Linked DNA regions of Styela clava. The protein of the gene in region 2 interacts with the protein of the main gene of each other region in a biochemical or structural test. Links are inferred from orthologs where the notes say so. Each region holds a gene or a part of one and is shown on either strand. Other genes may lie near its edges.

Region 1 (12,254 bases), on a different chromosome or scaffold from region 2:
AAAGTTTTTTTGATTTACTACACAACAGGAACCTCTCATAACACTAACAATAATAATGCAACAGCGGAGAGTGAACAAGAATCCTCCTCAAGTCCATTTTTTCCTAAAAGGACTCATAGCGAGCCAGCAATAAAGAATACTACGAGTGTCACACTCGAATGCGACCCTGAAGAAGTTTCACCCTCCGTGCCCTTATTATTTAAACCAGAGGACATCGAAGTCGAAATTTTTAAAAATCTGGCAGAAGATGAAGTTTGATGCATTGATTTGTGTTGATTCAGCACTTTTTGAGGCATTTTGCGTAGCATGCTTTGCATATAGAATACTGTAGCTGCAACTGATATAATCTGGAGTTTCAAAAGTATTTATAATCTATGCTTTGCAACGTGCTTCACTGAAAAAATTTTTTGTTCTTTTTCAGTTGTGCATTTGCGTGTTTTTAAAAATTTCTTACAGTATTTTCTGTCAACGTATATTTCTGCGGAATGTTAAGTTTGGGTATTTTTTCTGTGATAAGCTTTTTGATATTTGAATAATGCTTCACGATTCATACCAGTATTGTTCTTTTTTAGGGGAGAAATTGCAATATATGCCAAATACTTTACAATTTGACATAAATCATGATATCACAGAAAAAGTAAATTTGAAACCAAGAAAGGGATAATTTGGACGTTATGTATTTCTTGATAAAAAAATTTTCGAGTTCCACTCTTCTTTCTTAAATCTCGTCTTAAATAACAACTGGATACAAAAAATGATATCATGCACGAATAGCCCAATGTGCAACATGTATTTTTAATATCTTTGTCATAGCCCTATTTCGATTACGACCAATCTAAAATTTATTCTATAAAGTTCCTAATTGAATAATGTGACTATGTTGCAACTCATACCTATTCAAAGTATTTTAGAAGTTTTCCATATCACCTCTCTAACATAACTAAATACTGGAAAAGTTCTTGAAATGTAAATTTAAACTCAGGGAATATACCAGTTTAATGAAGAAAATTGTGCTTCATGTGAAACTTTTTTCAGCGTCAACTATTTACCTGTAATATGCATTACTGTAAATTTTTCATTTGTTGTAGAGCTGCTGACAAAGGACACAAAAATGTATCATTTTTTTTCTTGAGTTTTTAACATATGATTATATTTATTTATATATTAAATCACATTTTGCACACAAATTGTGAATACCCACAGCTGTAAGATATTTAATTAAGATGATGCTGTTTACATGCTAGAACGTCAACAATGTATAGTTTATATGAAAGTCGATGCACTTCATTTTCTTCATTTTCAACCGATATATACAGTATAGTCAAATTGGATCAATTCAGAATTTGTTGTTATGGTAACGCTTTGTCTTCTGTAGAAACTACATATTTTTAATGTAGGATGTACATCTTAAATTAATTTTTCTATTACAATATGGGTCTGCCTTTTAGGGTTGGGTAATTCTGATATTTCAAAATATCAAAAATATGGAACAAAAGGAAACTATTCTATGTCGACTTCCAGGGGTGAGAAAAAACTTGTTGCAGTGTGTTTTTTCCCCGAAAAATAATAATCATATTATGTGTATTTCTGCTACCTAGATATTTTACAATGCTAAATTAGTATAGATGCTGTGGAATCGAGCATTTTCAAGGAATTTCCATCTCAATTTATATTATCTGAAATATAATCAGTCAAACAATGACCAACTAAAATTTTCTATCACATATTGGCATGTCACATATTGGCAGTTTAAATAATATCTATTGTTTTGCTTGAGCTGTGCTATTGCTTTGCACTCTCCTGACCAAACTTTCACTTCTGTATTTATTAAGTGGAGAACAACATTCTATCAAACAAAAATAATTTCCCAAATACAGTAACCTCAATGACTTATACACAGTAATTCTGTAACGTACCTTTTACATTCCAACTGCAAAAGACTCAATTTCAACTTTACAATTTTCATTATGAATCAAAAAATAGAATTCGGTGCAATTTTAAGGAGTCCCCCCCTTTTTCATTCTCACAATTTATAGCAAATAATGGTAAATTAGTCACTTTGAGTTATTTAAAAAATTAGCCTAGCTCCTACGTAATTAACAAGTAGTGAGTCATAAGATGGAATTGATTTGGATATGGTAATTGATTCAGTCAAAATATTCCAATTCTTTAGTCTATTTTCCAAGTTGGTCACTTAAACAGCACTGCCTGTGATTTATATTATGATGATTCATTCTTAGTTCATAGTAATTTAAATGTAATTTATAGGTCTTATTTCTATCTGCTATGTTTCTAAATGCCAAACCTATATATAATGCTATTGCTTATGTATTTCTTAGTGAAAGAGCATCTTTATATGAATATAAGTAAGAGCAAAATTATTATACCTATTTCTATCCTGGCCTCCGAGCTAATAAAAGACTTAACAACAGTTCTAGCAAGTTTGGAGTGTTGGTTTTGTGACTCTTGCGTGATTTAAACAATTTGCAGTAAAAATAACAATATAGAATTGAAATGCAAGATTGTATTTTGTGTTTACTTTTGGTGCAGCTCTGGAACTTTAACGGAAGACTAAATATTTAACTCAATCTGCGGACTTGGAGTTAACAAAATTTATAAGTCTCAGACACTGAGAGAATTAATTCCATATATGCAAGGTTCTTTTATAAACTTTTATGAGAGCTTAGGATGAGAGCTTAGGAAACTCATTGTTTTTTGACTTCTTTTACCGCCTTAGAATTCTGAAATTTCAACTCTACAATCATAACTTGAATTAGAATTACTATTGAGGTTCAATTAAACAAATTCTGTGGTTTCAACCTTCATGATTAAACATTCTCATTCAAGTTAGATCGAGATTAACTTCCAGTTTTAAATTAAGCAGCAAATGATGCCACCATCATCCCTGAAGAAATACTGCAGAAGCTTCGTGAGACCGCAGACGCAGTCATACAGAATGACTTTGCCCAGGACGAAGATGACAAAGAGTCAACGTGGAGGATTTGAATACTTATTAACCATCTTGAACGCCATTCTTCATAACTTTCTAGCATAGTCTGGCTTTATCTAATCAGGACATATTATATCTTTATTCATCCATCCTCATGTTTTGAAACTAGCTGTTCCAGGCATAAAAGGTATTGTTAAAGCAAGTCATTCCCAAGCAAAATATTGGTTTTGAATGTGTAAAGCGATATGTGTGGCATTCTCCTTCCAACAGGAGTATAAAGTGTAATCTTAATAGTGCTTCTGGTCAGTGCTTTGAAGTCGTTTGAGTTTTGCTGTTTTTATTAACAGAGCGTGCGTAGAAATTTCTGATGATAACTAAAAAAACATTATTAACAAGAAAGCTTGCATATGCATAAACACTTCAGATTTCATGAAGCAAGAGTATAAATTTCACTCCGGAATTGTAAATCTTTGTATAACAATTGTCATTTTGTTTGAATATTTTATAGAAAATCATTGTTAATAATGTGATTGAAGTAAAAGACTGTCAAAGCTTTTGAGTCATATAACTTGTGTGTATACCAGCGCGACAAGATTAAAAGCCATTTTTCTTTGCAAATGTTAATCAATATATCATTTCTACAAGACTGCCTCAACTTACTTATTATCAATGTTCTGACATCCATCTATTTGTTATATTCCAGAATGCAATGCAATATTAAGTAGTCTAAAGCTTATAAATATCTGATTCTGAATATAACAAATCCTGAGCTTGCTTATTTTTTGTGCCATCAATCACTATTGTAAATGATCAACAAGAAACCCAAAAATATATTATTTGTATATAAGCAGAAAGAAAATGTATATTGTTCAACAATACAGGCAGTATGAAATAGTAGAACTCAAGAAGTACAACAACATGCATCCGCAAATAGGTATACTGCATTGTATTTCATGTGTTAGGACTTAGGGAGTTCCAAGACAGATGAGATTGCTTAAGGTCGGCAAGAAGCAGTATGCGACCTTGAATCAATGCCACTCTTTGTCAGTAGGCTGGTTAAAATGATTTATAACAAAGTATTGATGTAAAGTAGTTCATTTGGAATACTGGTTGCTAACTAGAATACCCAATATTCAGGTATAGGCAGATATCTCAAACACAATTGAATTGCTAGCATGCATGTTTTAGGGTACAATTCCGTACAATCAACACTCATTCTAAAACCTCTTCCACTTCTTTCATTTCCTTCAAGTTCAAAACTTCTGTGCTTCCTTTTCCCCTTGTTTCCTTACTTATCAATTCTTCAATTTGTCTATAACTACCAGGATCAATTAAACAAACGATTTCAAGTCCATCCGTGAACTCCTCGTTTTCAATAGATTTGAAAAGCGGTCTCAACTTCTCTTTGATTGATTTTGAGGTCTTACCCGGTATGTACAATTTCATTCTCATTTGTGCACGTTCGATAGAGATTTTTTCTTGTAATAATTTAATGACTTGTAAAGCTTGTTGCTTGGCGTTTCTATTCATGTTGATAGAATAATGTATGTCTTCTTTCATTGCACGCTCAATAACAGTAACTGTGTATGGACGCTTCGTTTCGGGGTTAACGCACATTTCAGAAACCATTGTTGCAATATCTCGATATTTTGATTCAAGATGGTCACTGCGTTCTTTTTCTGAAACTTGTAATTCTCCCTTTGCCAAAATTTCAACACATATTTTTGTGACATCATCTGTACCGAATGATTTCTTCAAATCCTCTTTCTTAGCAACTTGTCCTTTAGATACATTTGTGAATATCGCATCAGTTTGAAGCACTTCATCGATATCTTTCTCAGATTTGTTACGCCAAGACATTACTTTGTTCTTGTAGCAGGCAATTTCAAACCTCTTTCCACCTTTTTTCATACGCACGACTGCTACATTTGTCAACCGCACTTGGTTGACAGGAGTGAATATTAATGACATTCTCGCTATTACCCAACTAGGATATTATATTTTCATTTATTCTTAACACCTAGTCTATTTTATTTATGAAAAAATATCAAAAAGGAACGCTTGATGAATATCAGAATAAATTCACATGAATATTGGTTTAAAAAAGCAAATAGTGTTTTTGTGTTTGGGACAATTATCTTAGAACAAGGCTAACTTTAAGCTGGTGTTATGTGTTTCCAGTCATAAGCGTAACTCAGTCTCATGCATAACGGTCCCCTTTCAATTTTTCTGATGACTCGCGGTCCACTAAAGAAATGAAAGCAAATAGCAACCTGATATCTATTAAGCATTCATCATTGAATGACATTAAAACAGTTCAATGAGATAGGTGGGCCTGCTTGGCTCCCACTAGTTCTTCTACCTTGAGTTATGATTTGGATGATGCAACTCTCATCACTCTCAAATCATTTTTAACTAACCCCGAGAAAGTTTAAAATCAGATGCACAAGCCCTCCATAAACAATACGTTCTGATTTACACTACTTGCCACGTTCACCAACGTTTATTACGTAATAATGTCTTCGGTTGAGTGTGTCGTGCGTTGGAAAAACACTGTGAAAGTATGATATCAAAATTTTACTTTAAATTAAAATGCTTCTGTGCTGAAGTTAAAGTTGTCTCTTGACAACTTTAACCTCGGCACAGAAGCACTTTGATTTGAGGTGGAATTTTGATGTCATGTTTTTACAGTGTTTCTCCAAAGAACGTCACACTCTCCTGAAAACATTATTACGTAACAAACGTTGGTTAACGTGCCAAGTACGGCAAATAAGAGCGTATTGTTTATGGAAGGCGTGCGCATCTGATTGTAAGTTTTTTCTAAGTTCTGGAGGAAAAGGAAAACCACCGTCCTATTCCGATGACGCTAAGATGGTACTAAAATGCTCATTTCATTTGCAACAACTTACGAAGGTGAGGCAACTTTTTCCACGTTACTCGCCATTAAAAAAATATGTTGAAACAGAATGGACGTGGGACTCGATAGGAGAGTTGCATTATCTAAAACAGAATCCAAGGTAGAAGAACTAGTCGGAGTCAATTAGAGTGGAAGTGGTGACTCCTCTTCGGCCCATGGGCCGGGGCCACGGCCCGTCAAATTGGGCCTAGGCCCATCAGGCTATGGGCCGCGGCCCATCAAGTTGTGTAAAGGAACTATTCACTTGGCTAATACAGACAGTCCCCAAACTCATAATAGAACTATAATGTAAAAAATCTGAACAAAATTTTACCCTAACCTGGTACACATACTACAGGAGTTTATTTTTTGGTTCGAATATTGACAATTTTGTAAAAATTGAAAATTTTGGTAAGATAATTGAATTTTTTGGTAAGATAATTGAATTTTTCCTGACGGGGCCGCGGCCCATAGCTTGATGGGCCACGGCCCGTGTGGCCCAATTAGATGGGCCGTGGCCCCGGCCCATGGGTCGTAGTGGAGTCACCACCCCTGTAGGTCAATTAGGCGCATCCTTCCCATTAAACTGTTTTAATGTCATTCAATAGATGAATGCTTAATATACCGCGTTGTTATTTGCTTCCATTTCTTTAGTGGACCGCTAGTCATCAGAAAAATTGCGAGGGGACCGTTATGCATAGTTTTTCAAAAAGTTTGAGAACCACTCTTACCACTGGCAGACTGGTATAGACACAGTTATCTGAGCTCAAGGCTAACACTACAGCACTATGAGTCTATGCTGTTGTTTCTTTTTTTTTTTTTTTAATGGGATAATATATTAAAATATAACAATAAGTATATAACCATTCGAGCAATCATAAGATAAATAATCCAATATTCATTTTTTATATGTCCATTCCATCAGTGTTTGAGGTGTTGATCGCATCGGCATACAATTCATCAATTTTTAGTATATTGAGTTAGATTATGTACAATAAACGTAAAAAATTAAATATATTAGACATGTTCATTCTAATAAATACTAAATTTATACACACTAGATTTATAGTTCAAATACAATTCCTAGGTATTTCAAATTCTCTGACAAAATTTGGTGATTTTCTATTTTTTTCAATGTTGAGTCTGTAAGTGATTGCAGTTTTTATTTGTTTGATAACTAGGTGCTGATTAGGGGGATTACCTTCGAATATAACAGAATTTCTTTGTATCCATATTTTATATCTAGTGATTGAAATTAAATAAACAATAATATCTAAATCTCGTGTTGGAATGTAACAAATAGCTTAAATCCAATAAAACACAAGTTTCATAATTTTTCAAAAGTCTGGCATTATTTAATTTCCTAACAGTATTTTCCATAAAATCAAAAACATAATCAAAATATTCACAATTCATAAATAGATGGCTAACAAATTCTGGTTCTTTTCCACATAACACACACATATCATTTCCTGCTATATTTCTTATTCCAGGTTTTGTTTTTACTGGTCTAGTCACAAAGGCGTAACATTACCAGCATTGGCAATTTCTGAATAGGATGAGAATATTCCGCACGGTAATGCAGTCTCTACTGATTTATAACTCACAGTGATAGTAATGCCAGTGTACCTACAAGCATTTTGTTGCGCAATGGATGTTTTCTGACCCTTGACCCCAAATATTTTCAATGTCTAACCAGTTTCATTCAAACCTTTCCCCGAGCATCGATTTCCTTGTTTACTTTGTGGCATTGGCTAATCAGTAAGATGCAAAAAGTTTCGTAACAATGCCCCCCTCTTTTTTTCTTTTCTAGTATTTATTACTTTTTTTTTGTTTACTGTATAGTATACCCTAAATTTATCGCGTTTTATTCTTACTTAAATAACTTCTCAGTGGTTGTGTGTGGCGGTGGGTGCATGTGAGCGTGTGTGAAATACCTTAATAATTTTAAGTGAGTAAACACGTACCACTTCCTCTATGCAAAATCTTCCATCTTTTATTTTGTACGTTATAAACTTTATCTAAGGTTTCGTTTGCTCCCCTGATTTCATAATTAGTTTTTATTGATTTGTTTTTATCTGTCAAATGTATTGTTATGCTGATTATGGAGTCGAAATAAACTTATACTTATACTTCGCATCAGCTCAGACATCTTTCTAACTCATACAGATTGTTAAGCGTGGTTGTAAACATTACCTCGTTTTCGCGATTTTGAACTATATTCGTTAGTTTTCATTTGTGTTTCGGAAACTTAAAAATAAATTATATAATTCATTGATTACCCTGTCTTCCTAGGAGTTTTAATTTAATTGCAGTAATAAAAAATTAGTGTAGAAATAACTGTGATTGACTAGGCTAAAATTCGTTACCGGCATTTTTTAAAAAAAGATTGTTGTATGCGATGAATTATAATGATGGTTTGAAACACTTGACCAAATTTTACAAGCGCCAACTCGCAAAAGCACTTCTAAAATAGCCCCCAAAATTGTGCAATGGTTAAGTATTAGTTTTTCGGGGGTCGAAGGTCGGGGAAAGGTCCATTGCAAAAATATGTGAAACGAAGGCCTATTTTGAGAGTGTTTTTTTTTAGTTGACTCTTGCGAATTACTTCTCATAAATATCATTTTGATCCAAAATGTTTAAACAAATGACACAAAAAGGTACTCATTCTGGTCAAGTCTTATTCGGGGTCTTTGATTATCGGTCTGACCATATTTACGGCCTTACAAACCTTAGCATCGATCTTTGGGCATCAATTCTACACGTAGAAAATGAACATTGAAATGTCAATTGTTCACATGTTGGCAACGCTAAATGTGACAAAATTAAACAAAGCATCGATGGATATGTAGCCATTCATTTAGGATTTACTCACATATTCAAAATTTGAAATCGGATTCCGGAAAATTTTATTTCATGCCGTCGGTAGAGAGAAAAAAATGAAGTTACTTTGCTTCTGACGAGGTAAAGGCTGCCGATTTCAATCAGGATTGAAGTTTTTTTTAAATATATGCACTAGATCGTAATAAGCCGTATCTTGCCGAATTTACGCCACATAGACTATTGATAGAGATTTGGAACATCAGCTTGAGAAATGCATCACTGAAAACTTCACTCTATCAGAAGAGAATATACATATTGTCTTATTTTTCCGGGAACCAAGTGTTTACTTAGGAGGATAGGATTTACATATTTATCCCGGGGGAGAGAAAAGCCGATAAGAAGGCTTATCCATATGGCGAATCACGGCCTCCGGTTACCATTCCAAGTCGGGTATGGGATTAGTTATATTGGTTGCTTAACAGGAATTTTATTTGATATGAATATTCCAGCGGTATTCCATCAAGATCCATTTTCAGTTTTACAGCTCGAAATGTAATTTTGGTGAATCAACCCGTGACATATGTTACTATTCCATTTATAATTTAATCAAATGGAGTATGGAGTCAAAATTTAAGTATTAACGATCGTTTTCCGATTTTTTTAAAACATTATTCAGGATAGAAGTCTAAAGTCTCGTTTATATTTTCTAAAGCATTGGCGTTCCTCGTTACGGACAAAATAATTGCAATGACGTTTTATGGGATTATATTCATGGTATATCAAGATATGGTTAGTTAGAAGAAGCGGTGCCTTTCCCATGACTATGTTATTTTTCTTGCTGCTACGATTTGATAGTGCTCGATGTATAAAGTTGAAAATGTGGATAGCAGCAAAAAAATGAGGTGCGATCCTTATAGAATAACAAAATATAGTTTTTCAATTAGCATGTTGAAAGATAAAGTACAGCATTGTTCCACCCATCACCGATTTCGACGAGTTTGTTCCTTTCTCGCAGAATGTCATTTAGTGTTCGAGTACGATGGCGTCCAAATGTCCAAACGTATCGCTCGCCTATGTTAACAATCGAGTAATAAAAAAAATTACAAAATTTATCGCTATTTTATATATATATATCGCTTTTCGACAGAGGAAGAAATATTAAATCCTTTAATTTAACGAATGTTTGTTATTCGGATTGTAGGACATCTCACCTCTTGCTCCACATTGTAATGAAATGAGGTAATTGCTATAATCGGATAAGTAAACGGCTTCCATATGTGTTGTTCCTGAAAAGCAATTTTTGTTGCAATATTGAAGAACGAGAGTTTAAAAAAACACGGATTCAAACAGTCTCAAAGATATATATAAATCCCATTTTGGGACAAATTAAAATAATGGGCATATGCAATTGTTCTCCCCCATATAGGACAATTTGAAATAATAGGTACCGGTATATGCAATTGTCCTCTCCATACATGAAAACTTCGTCTACTAACCGTTATTACTTTTCGACATATTTCGACAAAAATTCATTCTTAGTTCTTCCAAAAATGAGCGCTCTTGCTTCGTAATTTCTGGAATGAACAAATGAATTAAAAATATAGTTATAAATATTATCCAATTTGAAATCAACGATACCAGATCAAACATTCACATCTATCATGAATGAATCTAAAACATATGAACAAAACTTGCACTGAAAACTCACTGTGAAATTCAATATGACTTACCTGTCTGTGATTTGTGCTTGGTTAAACGAGTGAATATATGATAACAAATCGTTCGTAATTTAAAAGTAAGTCTAATCAGTGAGAATGAAAAAATAGCTCACTTACTTGCGAAATACCAAACCTTGTAAGGCCCTTTATTATCTTTTATTGATATTGTTAGAGAATAAATAATGCCTCCTCTAGAATATAAAACAAAATAATTACGCGATATAAATTTTACTCAGGATACCAGTATCTCGAGTTCAATAGATTAGATGAGCAGAGACCACATGATTTCATATACCTTGGATTTGACGGCGTCATCCACATATCGAATCCATATAATTGATAACTAATATCGTCTATTATATCGCAGTGTGGTTTTTCTCCATCGTTCGCCATGTGTTCATACCATTTCCCTGTCATCTAAATTTTGCATGATACTTCAATAAAGAAATGTTATTGATAGAGTATTTATATCGCAATATTATATATAATTAATAATCTTTTCATACTTTTATGATATCTTGGTGAGACGAGAAAGTGAATTGAAAAAAACACAAACTTTGTAATAAGAAATACGTAGATAACCCACTTTATTTCATTAAGCAAAACCAGTTTCTCGCTCAACGAACCGCTCTGAATCATTGCTGTCTAAAAACTGGTGAATCAAATATATAAGAAATAGAGAGCGGCCTACTCACTTTCGTCCAATCTATATAAGGCTGTTCTGGTAATTTGCAATTTCGGTCTGGTATCGCAATAACATATTTAATCCTGCGTGCTAAGAAAAAGTTGAACAATAACGTGAAGTGAAAGATTCGTGGTATCATCATCATCTTCTCACCAAGCTGATAACAACGAGCTAATGTTTTTTCGATTAAGAGTATATTTTCATTCATGAAGCTATTGATCCATACGGAAATTAAACTTCTTCCGGTTGTTGACGCAAAAATGATCATGGGATAATTAAAGAGAAATTATAAGTATATGCGGACATAAATGAATAACTCAGCTGTACGGTAAACTCGAAAGAATACTAAATACCAATTCTATAGAACTAGCAAAAAATGAAACAAGACATGACGATTATCTGGTATTGGCATTTTGCTACTAAAGTTAGATCAGTGACACCCATTTGTCATACTAAAGATATTATTACTCTATTGAATCATAATGTATACGCTTCATTACTTAACATTATATGAAAAGTTTGCCCAAAAAAATGCAAACACGCCATTGTTTGGACGACCACAAACGTAGGAGCTATATGACAGAATCTCTGCCAAGATTTTGCGGTTAGGTTTTAACAGAAGGAGATATGTAACTTCTGAACCAGCGATGTCCAACCCACAACGGGAAGCAGCATTGAATAGCAGGCAACCATTTAAACATAAATATAAATATACATAGCATAGAGTTCATGCTTCCGAAAACAAATACCTAACTAATCCCATACCCGACATGAAATGGTAACCGGACGAGAGGCCGTGGTTCACCATATGTTAAGTCGTGTTATCGGCTTTCCTCCCTGATAGTAATTTAAGTTTATATTAATGTAATGCTCATTTAATTATAAACTCTTTTATAAACTTTAATCAAGACTTGACAAATTCCTTGAGCCCGATATTCATTTTTTTTTTGGTTTGTTTGCAATTTCATAATTTTGTCAGTTTGTTGCGCAAAGAGAGCTGAGAATATGATAATATAGGCTACATATATATAACATATGATTATATATTATACGCTTTGGTCAGGACAAGCCCACTAGAAGTACTTGTGGTACTGAACTACACTAGACCTAGACCTCAATTATTATCGGGACAAATTACAGACAAGAACATTAATTGATATGTACAATGGGTCGAAAGACTTA
Region 2 (13,575 bases):
GTAATATTAGTCGACAACATTTGGATCATTGCGTAGCATTTAGAATTGGTAAATTGGAATTGATAGGTGGGTGGTTGTCTGTCCATTTTTGCACAAATTTTTTTGTAAGAAAATTTGCTTAAAGTTAGATCATGAGCACTCGCGTAAATCAAAGTAGGTGATGTCTGAACCAAGTTACGAATGGCCACTGATGCGCCAACTGCTGATACTGTAAGGAATTTAGCGGTAAGGCATTCTAATCTTGGAAAGAAAAAATTGTATTTACTTTATTTAACAACATGTTTAATAAATGTGTAATTTTTCTCCATTAGAAGTAGATATTTGAATAAATCTTATCTCAGCATCTTGCTATATTTTGGACAGCTGTACCAGGATTTATGCCAATTCGCTAAGTGTACCGAAGATCTTCACAATATTATACCAAGATGACAACACCATGATACCTGATGTTGATCAGAATAAATTTGCCTCATTTATTACAGGGCAATGAATCAAGCACTCGGTCGTTGTATCAGACACAAGACAGACTGGGGTGCTCTCATCATTGTTGATGATAGATTTTGTAAAAATCCTAAAAAATACTCCAAGGGTCTGTCAAAGTGGGTTAGGCAAAAGGTAAGTGGACATGAAACAGCATCAAAAGAATTTATTAATAATACTGAAAAAATGATAATCACTACTTGCTTTGGCATTTTACCATTTTTTATCTTTTTTTACAACGTTTTTTTATGATACCAAGCTACCACTGTACCTACCACCTATATTTTATCATTGCCTCCCCAATTTATGATACCCTGGGAAATGTGGTGACCGTGGGATTTAAACTTGAGATCTTCAACTCGGCAAACCAGCATAGCTAAAGGGCTGTGCTTCAATAACTAGGCCATCATGCCCGCTGTCAGCAGTAATCTTCTACTTCAGAATTCTGTTTTTGAAATTAGCTTGTTCCCTGTATACCAGCAGTTTGGTACAAGTCATTGATTTTTGTTAATTCACAGATGATACCTTACACATCTTTTGACAATGCAATGTCAAATATCACAGCATTTGTACAGAGACAGATGTCAGGTACTTCTAATGTTTCATTACCAACCGTCAATGTTAACAGTTCACCCCCTATTACATCTTCTTCCACTGCAAGGTATGTTGACTCAGTGTTGTTCAATGGCATCTTCGTCACAACAATAAATTTTTCAATTGCTCAAATTACCACTGTTGGGTACCGGTTTCTAAACTCGCCCGACTCCAACTCGCCTTCACTTAATCTCCAACACTGTTCATCACAGCGATGGCTACTAATAATTGATCACCCACAAAATATTTTTAGTTTATTTCAAACTGTTATCTGCAGTAAAAAGTACCCCTTATTTCATGATGTATGAAAGTAAAATCAAATTGTGATTTTTTGAAAATATCATATTGTCATTCTATTTTAAACAGATCCATCTTGTCTTCAATTCATGAATCATTGCAAGTTGAAAAAGTTGAGCCTAAGTCAATGGATGTATCTCTGCATAGAAGTATCGATAAATCTTCTACAAAAAAGAAAAAGAAGCCTACCAAGCAAAAAGTTGTGACTAAGACTACAGAAAATATTCTTCATCATGACAACGATGAAATAGATTCAAGTCCAAATGATGATTTCCAGAATGAGAGTTTTGTTAAGTTTAATAGAACTTCTGTAAGAAAAAAAACTAAAGCTAAACCACCATCTCAGATGAATTATTCAAAAATTATGGAAAATAACGGTTCAGATGGAACAACGAATCGCAAAATTAATGAAAATGAAATTTCAGGACTTGAAACTATAGCCAATATCAAACCCACAAACAATTGTGAAAAATTTCACCAACAAATTCCAGTTAAACGGGAATCCAAAACAAACTTGTCAAATTCATCCAAAAAAACGATTTTAAAACCATCATCTGACACAGCTCTTTCAAACACAACACTTCCAATCCCAAGTACTCTGGATGTAATTGATTCTTTAAACGATGATGTAATGGTTGATGATTTGTTCGATTGCACAATTCCTGCCACCCCAGAAAAAATGAACATCACTGTAATTCCCGAATCACCGCCGTCAGCCAATGGAGATTCAAGTCACATCGGATTTCAGCGAGCATTGGGTATGTTTTCATTCACTCCCTTTACTCTGAATTTGTTTTAACAATATAAAAAGAGCAATTTTTTTTGTTAGGACTGGAACTCTCTAGTTGAGCATTGCCTACACAATTTATTACTTATTAGAACCTGTGATGTGTAACCAGCAATGCCAACACGGTGTAACGCTTAATCCGCTAGGCGGATAATATAACACAAGTTAAAAACTATTGATCGCTTATAACAATGATGTTGCGCCAGTCGCCTTCAAACTATCTATCATTTTTGGTACACAATAAAATATGTGTTAGCGCAATATTTTTGAGTTTTTGATTCGCGTAAAAATGAAGCATGCTCTGGATCAACTCAATGGGGAATCTCATCGATACCTCTTTTAAATCGAGTTTATTACGTGCAATCCTTTCTATGAAAGGGAGCAATGGAAGCATGGAGCGTTTTAGAACTTTTACATGAACTACTAAATTGCAATCATTGTATTGACGACGAGTGGCATCTCTCTACCATTTGCGCACGCCACATAGTAAATTTAAGGCTAGAAATGTCTGGAATTATGGGGAAGCATTGTAGTTAAAAGCTTTTTATTTTTCATATTGACATGTGAGAATTTTTGAATAGCCGCCCAGAATTGACGCAAGGTGGTGGGCTGGAAATCTAGTTAACAGCCAAGGCGCACATTGACCCACGTTTACGTTTGTATTATGGTCGCCAAGAAAAATAAAAATATATTTTTAAGTTGATCCAACAGCTATCTGCGGAACCATTAGGCAAAAAATATGAGCTACGACGTATGTTTGTGAGCGCGCGATGCTGTAATATGGTCGAAAACGTGTTTTTCTACTTTTACATTGTGACCTCACGGACTCGGAGAATTCGAGTTGAGTCCTTGACCTATTACTTGGATTTGTTGAATCTCTGTAATGCTGGACTCGTCCCATCCCTAATAGGTTGTGGTATCAGTTACTTTCTTGGATGACACCAGGACTAATCAGAAAATTTTGTTTGAAACAAAACTTATTTAGTTTTGTATCTATATTTATATTTGTGAGAATAATCTACTTTCAGATTTTGATTCTGGAATATCGTCAGCAAGAAAGAGAAAACTGACACAATCCCATACTGGAAGCTCAACACCTAATTCCAAGCGAACAGGTTTAATTTTTAAAAATTGGTTGTGTGTCCTTTTACACCTAGCAATTTCCTAGGGTGTATTATATAGTCAAGACAGAAGATTTCTCGGTACTCCTGTAGTGCATGTACCAGGTTAGATTTAGGCCATAATTTAAGTCCGATTTTCCTTATTTTAGTTCTATTATAAGTTCGGAGATTGTCTGTGTTAGTCAAATGAATATAGCCTACCCCCTGCCCATAGGTTGATGATGTAAAATAGGCGAACAAAATTAGTTACCGCCATATTGCTACACACACTCCTGGAGCGTCAGAATTTCACTTTTCTTTTATGAAATTACATTCAAATCTATCAAGCAATTATATTGTTTTTATATTTAGTTTTGTCACATTCAAGGAATTTTATCTCCCTGTTTTTTGTTTGCTTATACTTACACTAATTTTAGAAATGATCACAATTGACTGTATTTTGTGTTTGCAGATTTTCATACTCTTTTTCGTTTTACGTTCCAACATTTTGCATATTCATATATTTACATATTTATTTTATCTTAGATAAGGAGGATTTTGATACATCATCAAATTGTGAGCAGAATTCTGGTGATCTTTTATCACGGGCTACAAGAAAACAGTGTTTGAAAAAAGAGAAAGGGGTATGATGAACATATTGCTTCCATATTTATTCCTACAATATTCTAAGTTATTATACAAAGTAATCAATCAGTTTCAGATGTTTAGTCAGCACTCCTGTAGTATGTGTACCAGGTTAGGATTAGTCCATAATTTTTTTCCTATTTTCCCTATTTTAGTTCTATTACAAGTTCGAGGGCTGTCTGTGTTAGCCAAGTGAATATATCCCATGCCTATAGGTTTCAGTCCCTTTACACATCTTGATGTAAAGTGGGCGAACAAAATTAGTTACCTCCATATTGGTACACATACTTCTGGGGCGTCGTTTAGTTTATATAATATTGGTGTAACTGAATCAGGATACTCCTTATCTAAATCCTATTGTTCGTTTTATATCTGCACGAAGTAATGTTTTTATCAGGATTTTGACTAAGATTTTTTGTTGGGACAATGTAATCAATTTTCTTCAATTGACTTACCATTTGCATTCAAATATTTAGTACCTTTATATGGAGGTGTCTTTCAGAAGGCTATACCCTATAACACATTTTCCAGAGGCCCAGTGTTTTGTAATTTAATAAAATTGTGCCGTTGCATCATCTTTCACGCTGATCATAAGCGTATCGTATCACAAGCCTATTTGGTCAAATTAGCTCACAAGTGTTAACAAATACTTTTGATGTACTATCCTTGTATTCATGTAATTGTTCATTGCGCTCTTGTTTCTACTTCAAATTTCATATCTATTCATTTCAGACACACATTTCAGAAAAGAAGTCCGTTCTCAAATGCAAAACATGTACAGTAATACTTTATGAACATATTCAACAAACTATTGCATGTGAGAGGCTGCAATCATCATTTATTAACGAGAATTTTCTCGAACAAAAATCGATCATGTGTGATGTGTATTCAGTAGAATCAAAGCATATGGATTTTGAATTCATCACATTGATCACAGAAAATAGTAGAGATGGTAAGAATTTATATTGTATTTTTGACGGCCTTATTAGGCGAAACTATACTCAGCCTTGTTATCAGTGACCATAAATGATTAAATAATTAAAATTGCTTTTATGAAATTGATAGTTACTAATGGGAGACATGGTATGGAAAATAAGGCTCATGGAGCGAGCTTAGACTACTGGTGATAAAAAAACGCATTTGTAACATAGGATAGGATAGGATAGGATTTACATATTTATCCCGGGGGAGAGGAAAGCCGATAGGACGGCTTATCCATATGGCGAACCACGGCCTCTCGTCCGGTTACCATTCCAAGTCGGGTATTGGATTAGTTTTTACTGTATTGTTTGTTTTCGGAAGTATGGACTTGGTGGTGGAGGAAGCCGTAACCGACCAGCGGTTACGTGAACCACCCAACGACGGCGAGGAGTCCAGCAATCCTCTCGCACATAACCATCCCTGCATGGGATTCGAACCTGCGAACCCACGCAGAGTAATTAGAGGTGCGGTGGCGAGCGTATTCCTAACGCTTAGCCCGTTGAGCCACACCGCCGTACCACCACTGATGATGTTAGCCAGGGGTCAGCAACCTTTAGAGGTGCGGTGGCGAGCGTATTCCTAACGCTTAGCCCGTTGAGCCACACCGCCGTACCAACACTGATGATGTTAGCCAGGGGTCAGCAACCTTTTGTCGCTCGCGGGCCAAAATCAAAGGTTGCAAGTCATTGGCGGGCCGCACATATTTTTAGAATGTTAAAAATCGAATGGATGACCGATGAATCACATTTTATCACACAGATCAGAAGTTAAATTTTAAGCAGCGCGCGAAGACTGACCATTCGAATATTTTTTGCGCTATTAAACCATTTGTTTACTATGATTCAGTGAAGCGTCGCGGGCCGGATGATAAGATGATGTAAGCGCTGAAACATCTATAAGTTGTATCGTTGCAAGTATTCTGGGATGGTTTTTCCTACCCATCAGGGCTAACATTTGTATACAAAATAATTGTGTAAATAGTAATGACTGATTAAATGTGACTCCAGTTATTGAGATTTAAATCGGAATCCCTGTTTTTCTTCAGATTCAAGCATTGAATTAAATTCAATCTGGTGCGAAGAAGATCATAGGTGCTATCAAATATATCGATGTCAGTGTTGTATGAAACCGGTTGCATTTCAGATAGTTTCAGAACAACAGTTAAAAGATAAATATTTTTTCATATGTCAACTGGTGGAAAGGATTGATGACTGATTATTTCTAATATTTATTTCTACGTTTTCGTTTCTACTTGCCAATTTCATGTATGCACTTTCTATTTCTGTATTAAAGCCTAATTTTTAATAAATGAGTTCAGTGCAAAGCTGAATGAAAGGGAATTGTGGCGGTGTTTGTAAGCTCTTATTTTATTTTGAATTCTCTTACCGTAATTGAGTTTTTGACCCAAAGCAGATTTTGTATAAGCAATCATTTAGTTTAGAATTTCTGTGCTTGGGAGGACCGGAGTTTTCACGTTGTTAAGGGCAATCGATTGAAAATTTTAGCTCGCGCCCACAGCAAGTACGAAAGTTATTAGTTCCAAATAAATGTGAGTAAATTAGCCACTACATGGACAGAAAAAAATGGTTTGGCCTTGTTCATATATTTGAGCATTGCTCTCCTATTTCCGCAACAGCGTACAATCCACGACAACAAACCCGCGTAACAGTTGCTTTGTTCTGACATATTTCCAAGCATGGTCATGAACACTGACTTATTTTTCATAGTTACGGTTACCGGTACTGTTTGTGAAGTTTTAGTTATGTGTCCTAATTTAATAAATAAAAACTGTTGCAGAAGGCAGGAAGAGGCCAGTTTGAAATTAGCTGTATTTCTTTTATTGACAAGTAATTGAAAATTTCGATTTAGAATACCGTAGTGCTTTGTAACGACACAGAGGATAGCTAAACCTTTGTGGTAAAGTGCAAGACCCAACTCGCTAAGGCCATTGAGGTTATATATCCCAATAGCTAAGACACTTTTAAAGTCCAGGAGGGTACGTAACGTACTGTGTAAGCGTAAAGCATAGGGTCAAAGGTCGAGAAATCATCTATTGCTCCTCGTTTCGCGTTGCAATATGAGCAGTGTTGTTGAGGCTTAAGCATACAGTCATATGGTAGGATTTACGTATTTGTATGACTAATCCATCAATTTTCAAGTAAGAAAAAAATAATTATTTACAGTAAATGTAAACCATTTGGTAGAGACTGTTTAGGGCGTATAGTTTCAAATAATGGCGGAGAGGGTGAGCCTGATAAATGTGCTGCAGAAGAATCCCAAGAACATTCGGAATATTTGTATATTGGCACACGTTGATCATGGTAAGCTATTAGAATAATTTGTTTGCTATTTAGTTACCGGTCCTCCACATGGGTGGCCAAGTTCAAGTATTGATAAACACTGAATTTCAAGATTTTTCCTTGAGATGAAATTTTGGTGCTTAAGAGATAATATAAAATTAACCTTCAGGCATAGCTGTAAAAAAAAGGTTTTGAGCATTTAATGTTAACTCTGTCATGGTAACAGAAGGTAAGTCCATGAATTAGAATGCTTCGAAAATCTGCTTATTGAAACTTTCGTCAGTTATTTTTCAAGCTGGAACTACTCAAGTCATGGAATGTAAATTTTGTGACTCTTAAAATAGATTGATTGTAATCTCTGTAAAATGAATCATTAATCCTTATGCTCTGTATCTTTAATTTGTCTAAATTTTACCCGTCTTTGTAGGAAAGACTACTTTGGCTGATTCTCTTATAGCAAGCAATGGAATTATATCTCAACGATTGGCGGGAAAAGTAAGAAGGATTAATGTTTGTGTTTTAGTAATATTCATCAATTTTCAAGAATTACCAAAGCTCCATGTTTTTCCAATACAGATTTTTATTTCATTTAATTTTGGTGCACTTTATTGTACCAATCTATGGGGACTTGGGTTCGGCATGTTTTTTATAGATATTGTAGTTTGAGAAGGGGTCGTAGTTTAAATTGTAAGGAGTTGGAATGAATATTTCAGAAATAATTTCTAACGAGTTGACTAAGCATTCTTAACAGACAATTAAAAAGGTTATACATTAAAGTTTTTGTTATCAAAATTTTAATTCTTGGAAAGATCGGAGCTGAAGTCTTGCAAAAATTCCTTTTAACCAAGGTCTGGTGTCTCAAGTTAAATCAAATCGGTGTGAATATTCCTCCATATTTCTGGTACGAATAGCGTTTGTGATATAAATTTATTTTATTTATTTGCCTTTTATTATTTTACAGTTGAGATACATGGACAGCAGAGAAGATGAACAAATTAGAGGAATAACAATGAAATCGAGTGCAATTTCATTATATTTCAAGTCTGGTATGACAATTTTTTTTTCTTTAAAGTATCCATCCTTCAGTGCGATGATATTGTGTGATTATCTGAACTAAGTGAAATGATCAAAATTGATCTACAACAACTCAGAAGTATTTTTGGTTAAGTTGCTCTTTTACAACTTTTAAATTTAATTTTGTTGTCAATATTTTGCTCTATCTAGTTTTCCCTATCTTAAATTTTATTAGAAAATTTGCCCTGTTGAGCAGGGGTCCTAAAATCCAGAGTCGCAAGCCAAGTCCGCCGATTATTCAAGCCTAGTCCAAGTCCCGAAGTTTCTTCAATCACTGAGTTAAGTCTAGCTAGCGAGTAGTTGTTGGCGAATTCATCACCTAGATGACTCGGATCATTTTGAATCTTTGAGACGAGTAAATAACCGGAGCCGTCCCAACACTGTTCAATAGTGTTTTAGCAAAACCTGAATAATAAACTTCTAACTATATGATGCATTTAGAAGGCCCAGTTTGCATGTGGTTATTCTGTATAAATATGTTATAAACCCCAGGTGGGTATAATTGGCTATTGTTAGAGTGAAAAGCTATATTGGAAATCTACTTCACTGCCATACAGCTGAAATAATATTCTTTTTTAGCACAGCTCTATGGACTCATCTATACTGCCATTGCAGCCTTTTTTGAGTTACAGATCTTAGGTTCATTCTCGCCCACCTTCTCACTCAGAGTTTATTAAATTGGGAAGTGAAAGACGTTATTATTAAAAGTGCCATGTAAAAACAATTTGCATATGATCTACTGTTTTTTCTTTTCAAGGAGATGCAAATGAATATTTGATCAACTTGATTGATTCACCAGGACATGTTGATTTCTCGAGTGAAGTTTCAACGGCAGTTCGATTATGTGATGGCGCCATTGTTGTTATTGATGTTGTCGAAGGGGTTTGCCCACAAGTGAGTTTCATTGCTGGCCGTCACAATATACAAAACTCTGATTCAAAACAAGCGAATTTTACCGACACGTTTGACTGCTGCAAATATGACATTGGCCTAGCATTACTAATAGTGATAGTAGACTAGGTTATTTCTCATTAACTGCCACTTGAGGAAACAAAGTATAATCATAATATCTTCTTATATTATATTTGTTTTAATTTTAGACTCAAGCTGTACTTCGGCAGGCCTGGTTGGAACGTCTGAAACCAATGTTAATTTTCAACAAGATGGACAGATTAATAACAGAATTAAAACTCACTCCACAAGAAGCCGCAATGCATTTGCAACAGATATTAGAGAAGGTTTTTATTCTATTGAATGACAAAATTATAATACTCCCGAGTATACATGCTTGCCTGAATAAGATCCTCTTATGCATATATAAATTATTATGTAATCAGGGTCATCCATTGTAACTTCTTTTTTAAGCACATTTCTTTCTTTTTTTCAACATGTGATGATAAGAGCTTTTTATATAAGGCCCTTCAAACCATGGGTTCCTAAATTGTGGTAAATTTACTTGCTTAGGGGGTCACTTTCGTTTCATTCCAATGAATAATAAAATTTATTTGTTGAAAACAGCAGATTGAAACCTTTTTGGGACTGAAACGCCTTTTGTTGTGTGATAAATGTAATTCAGCTTTTACTAATGGGAAGACTTCTTGTTTGTTGGTTACGGATGAAAAATTAGCATTGCTGCAATCAATTTTAATCATCTGCATCCACACATCTACACTGGGATTTCCTATTCCTAAGCCTTTATCCGTCATTCATTTGTAGAAGTGAAAATACAAAAAAATTAGTAAAGATTGAACATGTGTTTCAAGCCGTCATATAAATTGAATAAATAGTGTATTTTGCCAAATAATCATCAAACATCAAATCAAACTGTCATTTTTCACCATCAGAGTGCTGTATGTTAAAGCTTTGGTTAAAAATTGCTTTGCATTATCTTTTCATGTGTTAAGTTTATTTTTGCTCTTACTAGGTCAATGCCGTCACAGGAAGTTTATTTTCTGCTGAAGTTCTTGAAAAGTCAAATAAGAATACAACTTCTAATGAGGCTGAAGTTGAAACAGGATCTGATGTGAGTAACTTCATTATTTTCAAGTTTTAATGACATCTTTTGCATTATTGCTGCAGGACAAACAGTCGAAGGGGATAAACACATTATGATATGTTAGGGGACCACGTAATGGGAATCTTTCTGTACATTACAACTTTACTGATTACTTTGTATTATTCATTTTGCTAAATTCATTGTTGTTGTTCTTCTTGTTCGGTTGAGTGCAAATGTTATGGAAAAATCACTTTTCTCTACAATTAATAAATGGTAAAAGCCGCTAGTGGAAGTCCTACAGGATTTCACTAAAATGCTGTTTTATATGAATGAAAGGGTTTTATTTCTCAAGTACCGATGCACGACGTTCATGTTGATATATTCCAGCATTGCTCTTTTGCAATCATAGTCGCTTGCATTATTCATGCCATACCATGAATCTTAATTTTGGCGTGTCTTGTACGGTATTTATTCAGTTTCTTTTATAAAATATCAGATCGTTTATGACTGGAGTGCTGGTCTAGAGTTGACGGATGATTCTCATCTTTATTTTTCTCCGAATGCTGGAAATGTTGTTTTTGCAAGTGCAACAGATGGATGGGGATTCACGTAAGTTTTCTATCTATTTTTTTATTCTTTTTTTTCGCGAAACTTCTTGGAGACGAGAAAATTATTTTCTTACTTGGTATCAGCTTATTTCAGTTCTATTAAGTAATAGTTAAACAATAAAATTCGAAACTTTTGAAGACAAGGCAAATTAACTTTTTTGTCACATTAAATAATGGTAATCATATAGATAGAATTGTACATACATGTTTTCTCGGTTTGCAAAGCAATGTGATTGACAAATTAATTATTCTTTCATAGAATCGACCACTTTTCTAAACTTTATGCAAAGAAGCTTGGCATTCAAGAAAACGTTTTGTTGAAAACATTGTGGGGCGACTACTATGCAAATGTAAAGGCCAAAAAGATATTCAAGGGAGCTCAAGTATGTTATAAATAAGATTTCAAAACTTTTGGATAATATCAAATTGAGTTAGCATTCCAAATATCCATCAAGTATATTACAGGTAAAACCTAAAATACACCAGCACACCAACTTGAAAATCTTTTTACCTTTTGAATTTGTTTTCATTTGGCTGTGTGTTTAGGTTTGGCGTAGGATGTATAAACATTTTGTTTGATATTTTAATTAGATTTTGATGATAATGTAAGACTTAGAAAGCCCTGGCTAATATATGTCTCTTTTATCATTTTATTTTTTTTTTGTATTATCACAAGCTTAAAGTCTCATTAGATGGTTTGTGTTTTTATGCATCTATTTATGTGCGATGTACTGTTGTTATATTTTGTATGTTAGTGAGAAACGAGTGCTTTCCACATTTGAAACTTTACTTCAAGTTTTGTATCTTTTTTGGGTTCTCCTCTTGTTTTTTTTGTTTTGGATGTATATAGGGTAAATCTATATCAACTCCCCAATGTGAACTCTCTGTGTGAAAGTTTGATAAATATTATTTTACTTTGTAGGCAAAAGGAAAGAAATGTTTGTTTGCACAATTTGTGTTGGAAAATATCTGGTCATTATATGACACTGTGCTTGTGAGGAGGTTGGTAAAAAATGTTATTACTTGATCTGGATTATATATTATGCGTAATGGAAAATATTCATATTCCTTTGGGATATTGAGACTATGGAGGACGGGAGGTGGTCTGAAATGTTCAAATAATAGATAGATAGTTTATTTTAAAAACTCTGGAATACTTGCGAATTAAAAATAGAAAATTTTCACTGTGAACATTCAACCACTGATATCCAGAAAAATGCAATGAGCTATTATTATTTGGACGGACCAAAATTTTTCTGGTTTTGGGCGACGTGGTTGTCATGAGATTTGAACCAAAGAAGTCTATGCTGCAACGCCAACACAGTTGAGTCAAACGCTTTTAACTGCTATGCTATTGTGCTGTGAAATTGCCACATTCGAAGAGAAATAAGCAAGATACTAGGTGACCTTGTATTGTAATAAAAAAAAACGTAAAATTGTATTGCTTAGTACTGTAATATCAACCTGATTATTTATTTTGTGTTTATTAATCACTCCAGGGACAAAGATAAATGTGAGAAGATAGTTCAATCTCTAAATATAAATGTATCTGCAAGAGATAAAAGATTAATCAGCACTGAACCTAAATCTTATCTACGTGCAATATGCAATCAATGGATTCCTTTGTCTCAAGCTGTTCTATGTATCCTTTCGTAATAGAAATAAATCAAATAGTTATGAATCTGATGGAATCTGTAACATATTAATTTTATTGATCATAAGTGATGTGTCGCAATACTTGGTGATTGGTATTCTTATGGTTTATCGATTTTGAGGTTCAAGCTGGAGTCGTTTTTCCAAACTTCTTAAAGTCTGGACTCGGGAGACATAATTTCAGACTTCTTATGGTGATAATCGAAGTAGTAATTTTTAACGAGAAACTCACGAAGCGCATTAATCGAAGTTGCATACAAATTTCTTATGAGCTAGAATCTGGAGATGAAGCCATAGCGTTTTTAAGAAGGTGTTAATTCTCCCCGACGGGTCTCTGCTTACGTTACTTATTTTTTGATACATTATTAAACATGATTTAATATGAAATATTTCCTTATCTTTCCCACTTGTGCAGCTAGTGTTTGTTTGCATTTGCCAAATCCTTTATCTATATCTGATGAAAAAGTGGAAGGACTGATGTGTGGAAATTCACATAGTTTTGATTCGTTTCCCAATGAAACGAAAGATTTAAAGCCAGGTAATTTTTAATTTTGGTTTGGTATTGTATTGGAATTCTTTATAACAAATGCTGGAATGGTGAGAGATGTTATAGTATTTGGTAAGTCGAATAAAAGTTCATTATCAAAGTGAACAACTGAAACAGACAGGGCACATGCTTAACACAGCATCAAGGACAGACTGTCCTTTTGCAGCTGAATGAACCGTATTTATACGAGTGACTAGCAAGGCATGCAATGACATACTGATGACAGTGATGATTACTGTAGACAAAAACATAGATTTATGGAAAACTGTTGAACTAGTACTATGCATCGGTGTAGAGGAGGTATGAGTCGTTGAATCAACTCGAGTTGAGTTAATTTCGAAATGACTAGATTCATCTAAACTCATCAAACAACAGACTAACTCAGTGATTGACTTAACTTTAGATTCAGACTTGACTCAGATAACCCATGGCTAAACTTGACTCACAACTCTTGTTTAGGGGCCTCTACCCAACCATGTTATTAATATATAAATTTTACTTATTCACAAAATA

What was found.
Region 1: the proteins of elongation factor-like GTPase 1 (region 2) and ribosome maturation protein SBDS-like interact in a biophysical measurement, tested with the Homo sapiens proteins (2 studies listed by BioGRID and IntAct, with this or other methods). The link is inferred for Styela clava from reciprocal best matches to the Homo sapiens genes EFL1 and SBDS.

What each region holds. Positions count from the first base shown.
Region 1 is NC_135262.1:15,397,251-15,409,504, forward strand, and holds ribosome maturation protein SBDS-like, read right to left. Parts: upstream 4,979-12,254; 5' UTR 4,922-4,978; coding exon 4,163-4,921; 3' UTR 4,081-4,162; downstream 1-4,080. Other genes in the region: sodium/hydrogen exchanger 3-like, read left to right, coding at 29-258. UniProt on the Homo sapiens protein: Required for the assembly of mature ribosomes and ribosome biogenesis.
Region 2 is NC_135257.1:17,278,219-17,291,793, reverse strand, and holds the start of elongation factor-like GTPase 1, read left to right. Parts: upstream 1-6,994; 5' UTR 6,995-7,117; coding exon 7,118-7,205; intron 7,206-7,611; coding exon 7,612-7,679; intron 7,680-8,145; coding exon 8,146-8,230; intron 8,231-9,015; coding exon 9,016-9,152; intron 9,153-9,358; coding exon 9,359-9,496; intron 9,497-10,182; coding exon 10,183-10,281; intron 10,282-10,750; coding exon 10,751-10,863; intron 10,864-11,121; coding exon 11,122-11,245; intron 11,246-11,784; coding exon 11,785-11,864; intron 11,865-12,361; coding exon 12,362-12,504; intron 12,505-12,930; coding exon 12,931-13,053; intron 13,054-13,575. Other genes in the region: Fanconi anemia group J protein homolog, read left to right, coding at 483-615, 999-1,141, 1,441-2,129, 3,187-3,273, 3,805-3,902, 4,636-4,855, 5,930-6,099. UniProt on the Homo sapiens protein: GTPase involved in the biogenesis of the 60S ribosomal subunit and translational activation of ribosomes.